2 linked regions of the Canis lupus familiaris genome follow. The main gene of each other region encodes a partner of the protein of the gene in region 2 in a complex. Links are inferred from orthologs where the notes say so. Each region holds a gene or a part of one and is shown on either strand. Other genes may lie near its edges.

Region 1 (7,318 bases), on a different chromosome or scaffold from region 2:
TTTTTAGTGGATTTCTTGGGATTTTTGTATTTATAAGGTCGTGCCATCCAAGAATATAGTTTTCCTTTTTGTCCAATCCAGATACCTTATATTCTTACAGTTTCTGCTCCGACCTCTCTTTAGTTTACCATGATGACATCTCTGACTCAGTATCAAAACTTCTCTCTTTGCTATCTTTTTGTATGCTCTGAATTTTCAAGTTTAAATTTGAGAGAGCAATAGAGAGATAGAGAAAAGGTGTATAGAATCTGAGTGGCTCAAGTGTTAGCTATTATTTTTGGTTAGGTAAAACTTTGCATTCTAGTTCATAGGTCTCTGGCTAATTGATAATGCTTTTGGATTAGATGATCACCAATAAGCTGTGGCCAGAGAAAAAGGGAGACCACAAGTCCTAGGTAGCTCAAGACATTTTCTTTAGAAGGGACTGTAGGCATGCTTGGCCTTGAAATTGATACAGGTAGGTCACTATTGTTATAGTAGGCATTTTTCCAAGAAAAAGATGTATTTTTTTTTTTCAATTCAAGGTTTTTGTTTTGTTTTGTTTTTGGTTTTCTTTCTTTCTCCTCTTTCTTTCTTTCTTTCTTTCTCTTTCTTTCTTTCTTTCTTTCTTTCTTTCTTCTTTTCGGTAATGTTGTTTGGAATGGATTATTAATTCTAAAGGTTTTTTTTTTAGGATTTTATTTATTTATTCATGAGAGACACACAGAGAGAGGCAGAGACACAGGCAGAAGGAGAAGCAGGCTCCATGCAGGGAGCCGCATGTGGAACTCGATCCCGGGACTCCTGAGTTCACGCCCTGAGCCAAAGGCAGACAGATGCTCAACTGCTGAGCTATCCAGGCATTCCATCATAACTGTATTCAATATAATTAGTGATTCCTTCATATCTCTACTTTCTCCTTAAACTCTTGTAATTAGTTATTTTGGTAATAATTAATTGAGCATCTGTTTTATGTAGAACCTCCAGTTTGCTCTATGTATTGGGGTAATAAGCGAGGAGGGTACATATAGGGAGGGAATGTGCCCAAGAAAGACATAATCTTTGGGATTTTTAGTTCCCTGTAAAAGAAAGGTTTAAATATATTATACAATTTGAGAATAAGAACAAAATAACATAATACAATTTGGAAACATATATATTAAAAATAACAAAATTATGAATGGAATAAATTCATTACTCTACTGCTGACCAGGGACACAGAGATGAAAGACACAGTGTTGGCTCTAAAGATTCCTCCAGTAATGAATAGCCGGTTTAAGGGGTGACTGGGTGGCTCCGTTCGAGGAACATGCGGCCCTTGATTTAGGGGTCATGAGTTCCAACCCCATGCTTGCTGTCGAGATTATTTAAATAAAACTTAAAAAAAAATCATTACAAGTTTTCTGAATGCCTTTGTAATAGGAGGATGCCATGCTGTGTCGTGGTTGGTTGCTTTTAATGTTGACAGGGATTCAAGAATGGCACCATCATTAGCCTCATTTCTAAATCTGCCTCTGTAAGACTATAGTCATTTGACTGGAGTTACAGGTCACAGGGTACGTAGCAGATATCGATTTGATTTTTTTTTTAATAGGCTCCATGCCTAGCATGTAGCCCAAGGTCGGACTCAAACTCAGTATCTCGAGCTCAAGAGCCAGATCCTTCACGGACCAAGCCACTGGGGTACCCCGGTAAGAATTCTAAATGTGTGTATGTCACTTAAAAGTTATTTACTGGTCTTGCAGAGGCGAAGTTCTGAACTAGAAACCTTCCAGAATAAATGATCTCAGCTTCGTCTGCTGTGGTTCTGATTCCTCCCCCAACGCCCGCCGCTCGTGGTAGCGGCTGCGCTTTCCTCCGCCTCGTCGCATCCCGGCCTAAGCAGTTGCGGCAACGGACGGGGAAGGAGGCGCGGGGGCGCTTTGCGGTCTGTGTCCGCGCCTGCGGACCTGAACGCCACAGTAGTTAGAACTTCATCTCACGAAAGTCAACAGAACGGTGCGTGGTACACGGTCCTCCTGAGTACGGCCACAGGGCGAGTTTCTGGATTTTTATTGTTTTTGTGGCTCAGGCTAAAATGAATGTTACATTTTGCCTCATGTTTCTAGTGTTAGGAATCTAGGAATGGCTCCGTTAGGACAGAGCATCTCCCTGGGCAGACCGCGAGTTCCCTGAGGACAGACTTTGTACGCCCCACGTCCCCGACCCACGTCTCTGGAGCCACACGTCCAAAACGTAGGTTTCGTTAGAGGGACGGACTTCCTTCCAAGTCGCCCGCCTACAAAGCGCGCGCACAATCCAGACTACATCTCCCAGGATGCCGCGCGCCCCTCGCGCTCTGGGTCCGAGGCAAGAAGGTCCCAGCCGCTACCGCGCCGGACGGGAGACTACAATTCCCAGTACACCCGGGGGCTGCGGAAGCCGGGTCAGACAGCACCTGTTGCCATAGCCTCCGGGGCCGGTCCAACCAATCCGGGCGCCCCCGCCGAATAGAGGCGGGCCGTTCGTGTCTCCGACCAATCGGAGGCACGCTTGTTGCGGCGCGTGACCGGAGGAGGCGGGAGCCGAGGACCGGCGCCTTCTCCTTGCTTGTTGGGGTCGTGGCCTTGCTCCCGCCGCGCGAGGAAGGCGTCGGCCGGTGCGTCCCCGCGCGTGTGTGCGCGTGGGGCCTGAACTCCTCGTGCGCCCGGGCCAGGTCTGTGCGGGGGCAGAAGCAGGAGCCATGGGCGGGGCCGCCAGCACCCGCCGGGTCACCTTCGAGGCGGACGAGAACGAGAACATCACCGTGGTGAAGGGCATCCGGGTGAGTGACCGCGGGCGGGCGGAGGGCCGGCGCCCGGCGCCCGGCCCGGACCCCACACTCGGGCCTGCCCGGGACGGCTCAGCCGGGGTCCCCCCGCCCGGGCCCCCAGTGCTGTCCGGCCCGAAGCCGAGCTGCCTGCCTGCAAGGAAGCCTGAAGTTTCAAGACTCGGGACGTCCATCCAGAGGGACCCCCTGGCCCCGTGCCAGGCGCTGAGCTGGGCGCTGGGGCGGGTGGGGGCAGCGCCACGCGGAAGCCGACTGCCCCGCGCGCGGCTCCAGTCCGGGCTTGGCCGAGGTGCCCACGAGCCGGGGGGCTTTATCCGAAGCCCCGGCCTTGCCTTCTGTGAAGTGGGGCTTGTCTGAACTCCTCCTGGGTTCAGGATCGCGACCTCATTTTGCGCCGGCCCCCGTTACCCTTCTCGGTGCGTTGGCGCTTCGCGGAAAGCCCGCTCTCCTCTCCTTAGCGCCCCCGTCTCGTGCCCCCGGTTGCCGCACACGCACATGCACACGCACACGCACACGCACACGCCGCAGACTTGGGGCCTGCCCGGGTGCCTTCCAGCTCTGGGCTTTCGCTTGACGCCTCCTCTTTGCCTCCTCTGTGGACGAGGCCCGGTTGCTCCAGGACAGGCGCCTGCCAGGCAGCCGGACTAGCCTGAGCTAGGGTTGCAGTGTTGGGAGACCGCCGCGCCGGTGGGGTCCGGTGAGTCCCCAGCCGCACGTCGCCGGGAAAGCCTTAACGCCCCCCGCGGGTGCTCGGCGAGCAAGCGGAACACTTGGTTTCCCCCCGGGGTGTCGGTACACCGGCCCTACCTGCACTGAACGCTCTTCGCTGCACCTGAACCGGGAGCCTCTCAGTGTTGAGAGTATTGCTCGAACCTGGTCAATGAAGCAGTTTCACTTCTGGAAGTTCCATTATCATTTGTTAAGTTTTCCTTCCTTGTTATCACACAACCCGCATAAGGGAATGAAATGTGTGAATTGTGTTTAGTTCTGTTACCAGGAAATAAAACTTCTTAAATACTTAAAATGTTTAAGAACTTTTACTCTGAAACTGTTACCGTGAGAAGAATTTATTAAAGCTTTCTCTATAGAAGCTCAAACTGTTGACCTCAGTTTTTGGTCTGTGACCACCATTCCTTGATATCAGTTAATGACAGTACCACGTTTTGTAACAGAATGTCTGAGGCTGCATGGCATTGTTGTGGTTTAGTTGGTACTCCTTGGAGTAAAATAAAAACTACTATAAACTGCGTTTTATGCAGAGATTTGTTTAACCTTGCCTTAGGCTCTGACTTTTCCATACCTAAGGGTGAAAATGAAAAGTAAGGGAGAGCAAAGCAAATTCTGGGTGAGAAGTCACTGGCTAGAACAATAGTTAAATCCATGTTCTCACGCCCTGCTATAGACAGACACAGTGATGAGAGCAAACAAAATGAAAAGAAAATTTGGACACAGCACAGACCTTCATATCAAATATTAGGTAAGGTTAGCTACTATAAGGATGATAATAGGGTAGATATTAGCCTAGAATGAGGAGATTGTTTAAAAAACTTTTTCTCCACTTTTTTTAAGTAAAAGAAACTATGTCTTTTGAACACACGACTTGACAGAAGTATTCTTTGTTTTTGTCCTTTCTCACAGAGGGCATTGTATTTATGATTCAAGCACACACCATGCCCCCTTTGACCTCTGTGCTTTGCTTCACTTCAGGATACACCCTTCACCTGGAATGCCCTTGCAGTGGTCTCCCACTTGCTTCAAATCCTTCTTTTTCAAGGTTGATTTGCATCCCTGTGCTTCAGTTTGCTCATCTGCAAAATGATGGGGCTTGAGTACATCTCTGAGACCTCTGATCTTTTCTGGTTCTGAAATTCTGTGAGTCTAGTGGCACTATAAGTTTCTTGTAGCCATACTCAAGCCCATTGCAATTTCCTCTAAAAATGGCACGCTCTTGAATTGTTGAGTACTTGGGGGTCATCCTGAGTTCTTTGGGGTCTTGTTCAAAAAAGCATCAGCTTGGAGTTAAACAGACCTTGGTGTGAGTCTCAGATTAGATGTTTATCATTCTGCGGCTTTGGACAAGTCACTTCTTCATATTTGGTAAGAAGATGGGATAAGGTATTTAAAGCACGTGGCACGTTGTAGCTTTTTAATAAAAAGCAGCTGTTAGGTAAGGTTCCTTCACATCTAATATTTGAAGGTTCTCTGGAAGTGCTGTGTAGTTAGAATAGTGGCCAGAGCACTTGCTTTGGAAGCTGGCCAACCTGGCTTTAGTTCTAGCTCTGCCTCTCACTAGGCTCAGTGGCCCTGGACAAGTCACTTTGATTAGGTTTCCTTGTTCAGTATGTTTAGATACTGCAGCCTGCTTGTGGTATACAAGCATTTAGTGTTTTGACAATGCTTAGTACTTACATGAGTAGTAGGTATTATTAGAGTTGTTCAAGGGAATGGGTATGTAAATTTACATTGATCTTAAAATGATTAAATAAGAGCATATTGTGCTCCCACAGGCATACCTAAAGATGTGGACTGAGAAAAAGGAGTCCTTAGTTCTGCAGCTGATTGCCTGTGTGATTTCCCTTTAGGCATTTTGTATAAATTTTTCAGCCGATCTTTGTATTTTTCCTAAAATACACCCTCTTGCCTTGCCTTGCCTTCCTCTCAAAACAGTCCTCTTGTTTCCCTCTGAGGCATGGGGAAGGATAAGCAACAATCTTGGTATCATAAGCGAGCCACTGTTTTTAGCTCAGTTGACTAAAGCGAGGTGCCGATGAGGCCCAAGCTTCAGCGTTGAACTGCAGATAGGTTCGTTCAACTTAGCTGAAGAAAACATTCCAGATTTGTCCAATTGTCTAATATTTATGTCATCACTCATAAGAAATGAGAGCGTAGCAGCAATTCACAGACTAAGTCACTGCTGGAAAACCAATTCTGCGTTCCACTGATAAGGATAGTAATTTCATCTTCATTTATCTTAATATAGGAAGAGTAACATTTAGTAAGCAACATAAGGCTTTCAGTAACTAGGCTGTGTTTATTAATAGATAATGTTTTCCCAGATTTTTTTTTTTTTTTTTTTTTTTTGCTGAAAATGTCCTCAATGGTTAGCAATTAAAGGGCCTACTTAACAATTTTAAGTTTAAAGTTTATTCTCACCTACCAGGTGTTATTTTCATGGTGTTTATTTCCTTTATCCTTCACAGTTGATAGCTTTCCCTCCACTTGCATAAAATCACTCATATTCTCATACCTAATTCCAGCTTCAAACCTAAAACAACTCATGGGTTGGATGAAAGGCCACCCTCTTGCCTTGCCTTCTTCTCCAAGTTTAAAATCATTTCTAGGGATAGAAAGACCAGGCATTTTCATTACTCATATTACATGTTCTTAATAGGATTTTTCTGAGCACCTGCTGTGCCTGTTTGGAAGGTATGCTTACCATTCAGTCTTTTCACTGGTTTATCTAAAACATCATAGCTGTGAGTGAACTCTTCCAGAGCAAATGTCAACTTCAATGAGTATCATTTTCAAAGTAATATTTATCAGGCTTTCCAGGCATCAAGGAAGCTCTGCAACTGGCCTTGAAGTTGCAAGCTGAAATTCATAGGAGCCATACATGCATGCAGTTGTATGGATCCTCACATGGGATGCGACTGATGCTTTGGGGAAGTATTGACAGTTGGGAGCCCCAAAATGAAAAGATTATTTAATGTGAGATATTGTTGAGGATTCTGGAGAGTGTATATTAACAGAGGCAATAAATCGGTCAGTCACTGGGAGTGTTGAGGGATGCTGTTGAGGTAATTTAGCTAACTGGTGGATGATTGGTTCCTTTCCAGTTTAGATTCTGTGACTCTTGGGCAGAGTACCCTGTTTAGCTTTATAGAACTTTTTTTTTTTTTTTTTTTTTTAAAGCTTTCCAAGAGGGGTGCCTGGGTGTCTCAGTGAACCGTCTGTCTTTGGCTCAGGTCATGATCCTGAAGTCCTGGGATTGAGCCCTGTGTTGGGCTCCCTGCTCATCTGGGAGTCTGCTTGTCCCACTCCCTCTGCCTGCTTGTGCTCTCTCTCTCTGTCTCTCTCAAGTGAATGAATGCAATCTTTAAAAATCAATCAATCAATCAATCAATCAATCTTTCTAAGATTTTAGACAGAAGTTCATTTCCATTAATGACAATTGCAAAGAAATACAAGTGGCAAATTACAAATGTAAGCTAAAAGTTACCATATAAACTTTATGTCTCTCTCTTCCCTCACCATGCCCTTAAGTAAGTATTTGGGAGTAATATCTTCTATATAATAATGGCAGTTTTGGGAACCTGTCTCTTAAAATGGTAGTTAAAAAAAGAAACCAGTACTCTTAAAAAAGATGACCTATGCTACATGAAGACCCAGTGAGAAAAATGAGTCTGAGTCCTTTAGTCAGTTTAAGACACATGGGGAAGAGATGAAGAAAAATAATGGAGGTGAGGGTGTGATTTATTTGTCTTAGGTGGTTCTAAACTTTCCTCTTAGAGAAGGGCAACTTAGAAGGAG
Region 2 (7,127 bases):
GCCATATTGTAGCTCAATACAATGTGAATGTTTTGTGTTTTTTTTTTGTTTTTTTTTTTTTTTTTGGTTTTTGTTTTTTGTAATAAATGTGTTTCTGTTCACATACCCTTTATTTAAAGTGTTTTCTCTTTTTTATTTCACATATTTGTGTAAATTATACTTGGCATAGCTGAGCCATGGCTCTTCAGGGGGGAAGGGGCAGCTTTAAGGGGCTGTCCGGGTTCCCGGAAGCCCTTTACTGACAGCACACGCTCCTGGCCTGCCTGAACCTGGACCTGGGGTTTGTGGGATCGTCTGCGTTCTGCGTCGTGGCCGTTTTGTCCCTGTTCCCCCTCCTGGGCCCTCTGTCCTCCACACTCTGCCTCCGTGTCCAGGACAGGCCCAGCCTAGCTGAACAGGCTGCTGTGCCTTTTTTTTGATGTGGCAAAATACATATAACACACAATTTCCCATTTTAAGCACTTTAGGTGTACAGCTTGGTGGCATTAGTATCGTACAGTGTTGTGCCACCATCACTGACCTCCGCCTGCAGAACCTTTCATCCTCCCAAACGCCAACTGCCCTGCGCCCACCACACCACCATCTACTTCCTGTGTCTGTGGCTCGTAGCATCTCCTGAGTGGAGCAGCATGCCCGTGGGGTAAGGTGTGACAGCAGCGTGGTGCTAAGGCCCGTACGTGGGGCCATGCTGCTCCTCAGGTCCACCAGGCTCCGTCTCTGTGGGCCCTGGTCTGTGTTCATGTTGGGGTCCACCCGTCCAGGGGAGCAGTGGTGACAGGCCGGCTGCCTCCCTGACACATCACTGTGGAGTCCAAGCCTGTCTGGGGCTGGGAACACACTAACCACCAAGGCAGCCTGGGCCCCTGTTCCCGCAGGGTCCACAATGGGGTATGGGTGTATGTGGGGGGAGACAGACACGTGACCAAGCCTTCAGATGGTGGGGGGCAGGGGCAGCAAATAAAACCCCCTCCCACCTGGGCCACAGATCACCCCACCCACCCTTATCCCCAAGCCTGTGCGCATGGTAACCTAAAGGGCCAGAAGCCCCTTCTGGGGCCCAGTGTCCTCACTGGGGTCCTATAAGGGGAATAGGGAGGCAGGAGAGCTGGGGGGGGGGCTGGACACCCACACGCTCCACAGCTCGCTTTGAAGATGGGGGGGGGCACTCCTGCTGAGTGTGGTGGCCTCTAGAAGCTGGAAAAGGCCAGATACGGACTGTCCCCAGAAAGAGCCAGCCCTGTCCTCCTAGCTCCGTGAGACCCGTGGTGGGCTTCCAGCCTCCAGATCTGTGAACCGGTCGACGTGTGCTTTTAAGCCCCTGAATCTGGTCATTTGTCACGGGAGACTAGCAAACTCCCAAGGCAGTGCTCGTCTGCTGGGATGACTGCCCAGGAGACACCTGGCAGCAACTGGAGACGTCTGCAGCCGTCAGGACCAGGGGACAGAGTGCCACTGGCATTTCGGGGGTGGAGGCAGGGATGCTGTTCAACACCTACTGTGCCCAGGCTGAGGTAGGGCGACCTTGCCTCGCAGTGCTAAGGCCCTGATAGGACACCCACAGGGCAGTCGGGGGGCCTGGGCCGAGTGCCTGACTTCAGGCTGGGAGGAAGGGGTCGGGAGGCTTTCCAGAGGAGGCCAATGCTAAGCTGCAGGCAGGATGAGCCAGAGTCAGGAGGGAGGATGGCCTGCTGAGTGGGTGCCAAGGCCAGTGGTGAAGACCAACTGCGTTCTGGGAATGGGGCCCCTTGGAGGAGTCCGGGCTCAAGGGGAAGGCAGCAGGGAGCCATAGAGGGTTTCCGAGGAGGGCAGGGACATGTTCAGACTTGGACCTGGGAAGTGGATGGAAGGGCACAAGGCCGAGAGCCGGGGGCGGGGGGGGGGGGGCGTCAGTGCAAACAGACCTAGGGCTTGGGGAAGGCATCTCTTCAGAGCTGCTGAGGGACCCGCAGGGCCTGGAGCAGCCTGAGGCCCCAGCAGCCCTCGGGGTACGTGTGTCCGTCTGTAAGAGACGCAGCCCTGCCTGCCCTGTGCCCTCAGACAGGTGCCTCTATCTCCGCCCTTTTCCTCACCTGGAAACCACACGGCCCACCCTCGTCCTCGCTGTGCGGCTGCCTTGGGGGTGGCCAGGTGCTTCCTGAAGCCCTGCCTGCCTGCCTGCCCGGCGCCCCTGGGCCACACCTGGCCATCTCTGCTTTTTTGCAGCCCCCACGTCATGACCCCCTCCCCGGGGACACAGGCCCGTCCTGCGGGGACTGCAGTCGCTCTCGTGAGCAGCTCTACACACGGTGATCACTGAGCGGCCCCGGGAACTCCTGGCCACGCAGACAGCGGGGAGATGAACATGCCCCTCCCCAGGCCCCCAGCCCCGCAAAGCCCCCACCCTGGGCTCAGCCCTCCAGGAAGGCCGGCATCGGCACTTTCTCAACCCGTTCCTGGGCCCCTGAGCACTGTCCGTGGAGCTCCAGGGTCAATGTCTGCCCCCAGCCCCGCACCAGGTTGGAGACTCAGCAGTGGGGTCCGGACGGCAAAGGGGTTAACCAACACCTGTGGTCCAGGTCAGGCCCTGAGGAGCTGCTAGCCCAGGCCCCTTGCTCTGGGCACCAGCCGGGCCACCCCCAGCCCCCAGGGCCAGCACACGGGTCGGGGAGCATTTCCAAAGTCCTTTATTGGGCCGGCAAGGCCGGGAGCTGCCCTCGAGTGGGGTCCCAGTCCCAGTCTGGAGTCTCCAGGTCGCTGGTGCCCCTGCCCCCGTTCCTGACTGGGGCAGGTGGCCTCTGGCAGGCTACTTGATCCGCTCCTTCAGGTATTCCCAGCCGTCCCTGGAGTACTCGCGGGCCTTGGAGGGGGCCACCGACAGAGCTGACATCACCGTGAGGATCCCTGTGGAGAGGGAGGCCCCAGCGCCTTCAGCCACCGCGTCTCGCCCACCCACACCAGCCCCCCGGAAACCCGAGCTCCACAAGGCTTTGAGAGGCACCAGTTCCAGCGCCATCGGTCCCACATGGGGAAACTGAGGCGGGGGGGGGGGCAGGGCCTCATGTTGTCTGAGATCACCTGTCCTCAAAGTAGGCTCCCTCTGGCTCACCCCTCCCTGAAATCTCCACCCTCTTTAGATCCTTTAGATCCGTGGCAGGGGTGCAGGGCAGCACGGGGAGCCACGGGAAGGAGTGACCAGGAAGCAAGCGGTGGCAGGGTTGTGAGGCTGCGGTGGCAGGGGTCACCCCCCAGCACGGGGACCAGGGCCTACCTGAGTTCCAGGTGTCACGGAAGTGAAAGTTAAATTTTGGAGGGGCTGGGAGCTGGGAAGAGAGGGGAGAAGGGGCAGGTGAGAAGGGGAAGGGCCCCGCGGCCCCAGCCTCGCAGGACCGAGCCCGTGGGAGGACGCGGACACGGACACGGACACGCCGCCGGGGGCTACCTGGGGCATCTTCAGGCCGGTCTGCTCGCACACGTACTGGCTGAGCTGGTACATGGCTGGGGGCACCACCTCCTCGGCCCTCTGGAGCACAGCCTGGCTCTTGTCGCTTGGGCCCAGCAGCTCCTGGTCGTACACCAGGTAGACCGCACCCCCGGCCACGCTGCCCTTGATGAGGAACCTGCGGTGGTGGGGGGGGGGGAGGCAGGGCGGCGGCTCAGCAGCTCCCCGGCACTGCCGGCAGCCCCGGGCTCCTGGCCCACGCGGGGCGCCTGGGTCCGGGGAGTGACACAGCGAGGCCGGGCAGCGGACACGGAAGAACAAGGAGGCGGCCGGGCACCGCCTGGCACAACGCTCCCCTCACTGCACAGAGCACAGCCCCTCGGCCCCGTTTAACAGGTAAACTGAGGCCCACTCGTGATCCGCACACGGCGCGGCGAGGGAAGGCCTAGACCCCCGGCCTTGTGCCTCGCGGGGTCCCGCGCGGCCCTGGGCGCTCCTTGGACGTCGCGCGTCGCCCCGGGCACCCGGGGTCTTGGCGCAGCGCGGGCGGCACTCCCGCCGTCCAGGGGAGGCACCTGCGGCCCCGGATCGCGGGAGGCCCCTCCCCTCCTGACCCTCAGGTCAGGCCGAGGCGGGACCCGACGCCACGGAACTCCAAGACCCAGCCGGAAGCAAACCCGGCGGGGGGTGCCCACGGGAGGGGCTTTCTCGGGGGCTCGGAGCCCGCCCCGCCGCCCCACGCACCTCATCAGCGACCACACTCGGGGCACCATGGTCGCTCGGCTCCGCGCGCAAGGACACTCGACTCGCCCGCCGCTTCCGGTGACTGCGCCGCAGAGGCCTCTGGGAAACGTAGTCGCCCGACTCAGCCGCAAAGGCCTGTGAGAGTCGAAGTCGCGCGGCGGCCGCAAAACGCCGGAGAGGCTCCGCAGCCCTCCAGCGAAAGGATTCTGAGAAGTGTAATCTTCAGAGCCCGGACGCCGCAAGGCTGCCTGGGAAATGGAGTCAGGACCAACCCCCGTGAGGCGCCGGACGGCTCGCCCAGCCGCCGAGACTGCTGGGAGATGTAGTCCGGTCTGGCGCGGCTCCGGCGGCGTGCGAGGAAAAGAGGAGTCGGGCGTCTAGACTGAGGCCCGACAGTGGCCCAAGAAGGCGTCGGAGTCCGGGAGATCCACCCGCGCCCGCGCGGGGGACCGAGGGCCCCGGCCCAGGGCGAGTGTGCCAATAAGATGGTTGGTTGTCACGGCAACGCGAGGTCGGAATTGTGCGTGGGAGGCGGGCCCTCGGTCACGTGCCTGCCTCGGGGGCGGGGCTTTCGTCCAGGGGGCGGGCCCAGGACCACGGCGGGGCGAGGGCGAGCCGGGCGGAAGGCCGTTGCCGGGCAACGCCCGGGCGCCGCGCTCCCCCGCCAGGCCCCGCCCCCTGCGGAGGTGGGCTCGGTGTCACGTGACCCGGACCCTACGGGAGGGGGCGCGGTCGGGGGCCCGGCGGAGCCGGCAGCGTAGGGAGGTGCGAGTCCGAGGGGTGCGCGCCGGGCTCCCAGGCCCGGACCCCAGCCCCGCTGGACGGCGGGAGAAACTGAGGCCCGAGTGGGTGAGTACGAGGTTGGGAGCGCGCGGCACGTCGCACGCCCTTTTTGTCCAGAGGGGAAACTGAGGCTCTGTGAGGTCAGGGGACCAGTGCGTTCTGCGAGGGTCTGGTTCTCCCAATTCCGTCCCCATGGGACGCCGGCCGGCTGCTCCGTCCATCCATCCACCCACCCATCCACCCAGACGGCCAGCCGGCCGCCCGCCCCCGCCCCCGCCCCCGCCGCGTGGCTGCTGTGGTCAGGGTGGAAGAGGGTCAAGTTGCGGGACTTCACGGGCGTCCCCTGGAAAGCGGGGAGAGGTGGGATGGCTGCCGTGACTGGGGAAGGGCGAGGACTTCACTCTTCGGAGAGCTGAGAAAGAGTCACAGACAGGAACCCGGCAAGATGAGAAGGGACAGGTGGGCCAGGGCCGGGCCCGCGGCGCATTGTGGGCCGGGGTGAGGAGCTCGGTCTCCACGAGGGGCAGTGGCGAGCCCTGAGAGGGTTTGCAGCAGCAAGGGGCAGTCACATTTCTTTGGGTAAATATGTCTTGGGCTGCCCGGAGAGCATAGGGTGCGGAGGAGGGAGTGGGAGGGTGGGGGAGGCAGGGGGAGGCAGCTGGAAGTTGGCAGTAGGTCGAAGGATCTAGACATCTCAGAGCTGAGGGCACCCCAGCCCCACCATCTCTCAGTTCTACAGTTCTACCCCTACTGCGTTCAGAGAACAGAAACCCCAGGATGTGACGGGCCTGTGCCTTCCTTGGGGGAAGATTCGTGCCCCCCTGAATCGTGAAGTCCTTGGCCTGTTTCTCTCTTTCACCTTCTCCCCGGAACAAGTAAATCCACTCCCACAGCTCAAGTCACATCTTAACCGTGACGACACAGGCTCCTTCCTGGTGTCTCCAGAGTCATCTCTCCGGGTCCCCCCAGCTGTCACTTCCAATGTTCGTCACATCACTCAGGGCCAGTCTCGTGTCTGTCGAGCATCTGCTCCATGTCTGGCAGTTTGGGGGCCACTGAGGACCCAACAGCGAACAAAGCAGAAGCAAGTTTCCGTTTCCTTCCTGCCTCGTGGAGCTGACGCTCTAAGAGGAGAGAGGGACAGGGAGCATGTAACAGATCATCAGGATGATTTCAGATCATGGCAAGTGCTGAGAGCGTGGAAGTTTTAGAGGCAAGAGGAGGGAGAGGGACCAGGAGGTACTTTAGGAAAGGAGGCCAGGGGGTTTTCCTTGGAGAAGGTCAGTTTTGTGCTGACTTCAGAGAAGTGAGAGAGCAACTCATTGGGTTATATTTGGGAAGAGCATTTCGGGCAGAGGGAGTAGCCAATGCAAAGGCCCTGAGGCAGGATGGAGTCTGGCTCCTTCTAAGGAATGCTGAAGAGGCGCTGTTTTGGCAAACAGAGCAAGAGGGGCTGGTCCTCGTGGGGCCTTTTTGAGCATCAAGGAGCCTGGCTTTTGTCCTAAATGAGATGGGGAGGGTTTTCAGCAGGGGGAGGTAAGATGTAATTTGGCTGCTTCTAGGAGGGAGAACAACCTGAAGAGGCGAGGGGAAGCTATATGACCTGGACCAGGTGCTGGCTGCGGAGATGGAGGAGAGAGGGCAGGGCCTGGAGGGAGCATCGTCAGCAAACAAAGGCCCAGCTGGGGAAATGGGGGTGGCTGTGGGCCAGGCTGTGCGCCAGGCTGTGCCTGCCATCCTCTCTCCCGCTGCAGACCCTGCAGACTCAGAGCCGGCCATGAAGGTTCTGCTCCTCACGGGGCTGGGAGCCCTGTTCTTCTCCTACTACTGGGATGACAACTTTGACCCTGGTGAGTGCCTGGAGGTGGGGGAGGGACGAATTGGGCCCCCCATCCGGGGCATCCCCAGCATTGACCACGGTGCACACTGCTAGCCAGCCTCCAGGGAGCCCGGGTGCTGCTGACCGGGGCCAGCGCAGGCGTCGGGGAGGAGCTGGCCTATCACTACGCTCGCCTGGGCTCCCACCTGGTGCTCACAGCCCACACCGAGGCTTTCCTGCAGAAGGTGAGACGCCGATTTCCAGTGGAATGGTGGGGGCGGGAGTGGCTGGAAAACCGGGCCTGGGTTCAAATACTCCCAAAGATCCAGGCTTCGTCTGTGACCTGTAGCAAGTAGGTTAACC

What was found. Proteins that work in one complex are often made in the same cells at the same time.
Region 1: MICOS13 (region 2) and CHCHD3 share a complex: the UniProt entries of both Homo sapiens proteins name them as parts of the mitochondrial contact site and cristae organizing system (MICOS) complex. The link is inferred for Canis lupus familiaris from reciprocal best matches to the Homo sapiens genes MICOS13 and CHCHD3.

What each region holds. Positions count from the first base shown.
Region 1 is NC_049235.1:4,055,047-4,062,364, forward strand, and holds the start of CHCHD3 (MICOS complex subunit MIC19), read left to right. Parts: upstream 1-2,528; 5' UTR 2,529-2,701; coding exon 2,702-2,782; intron 2,783-7,318. UniProt on the Homo sapiens protein: Component of the MICOS complex, a large protein complex of the mitochondrial inner membrane that plays crucial roles in the maintenance of crista junctions, inner membrane architecture, and formation of contact sites to the outer membrane.
Region 2 is NC_049241.1:54,734,953-54,742,079, reverse strand, and holds MICOS13 (MICOS complex subunit MIC13), read right to left. Parts: upstream 4,685-7,127; 5' UTR 4,192-4,684; coding exon 4,163-4,191; intron 3,597-4,162; coding exon 3,419-3,596; intron 3,300-3,418; coding exon 3,248-3,299; intron 2,881-3,247; coding exon 2,783-2,880; 3' UTR 2,646-2,782; downstream 1-2,645. Other genes in the region: HSD11B1L (hydroxysteroid 11-beta-dehydrogenase 1-like protein), read left to right, coding at 6,778-6,795, 6,883-7,009. UniProt on the Homo sapiens protein: Component of the MICOS complex, a large protein complex of the mitochondrial inner membrane that plays crucial roles in the maintenance of crista junctions, inner membrane architecture, and formation of contact sites to the outer membrane.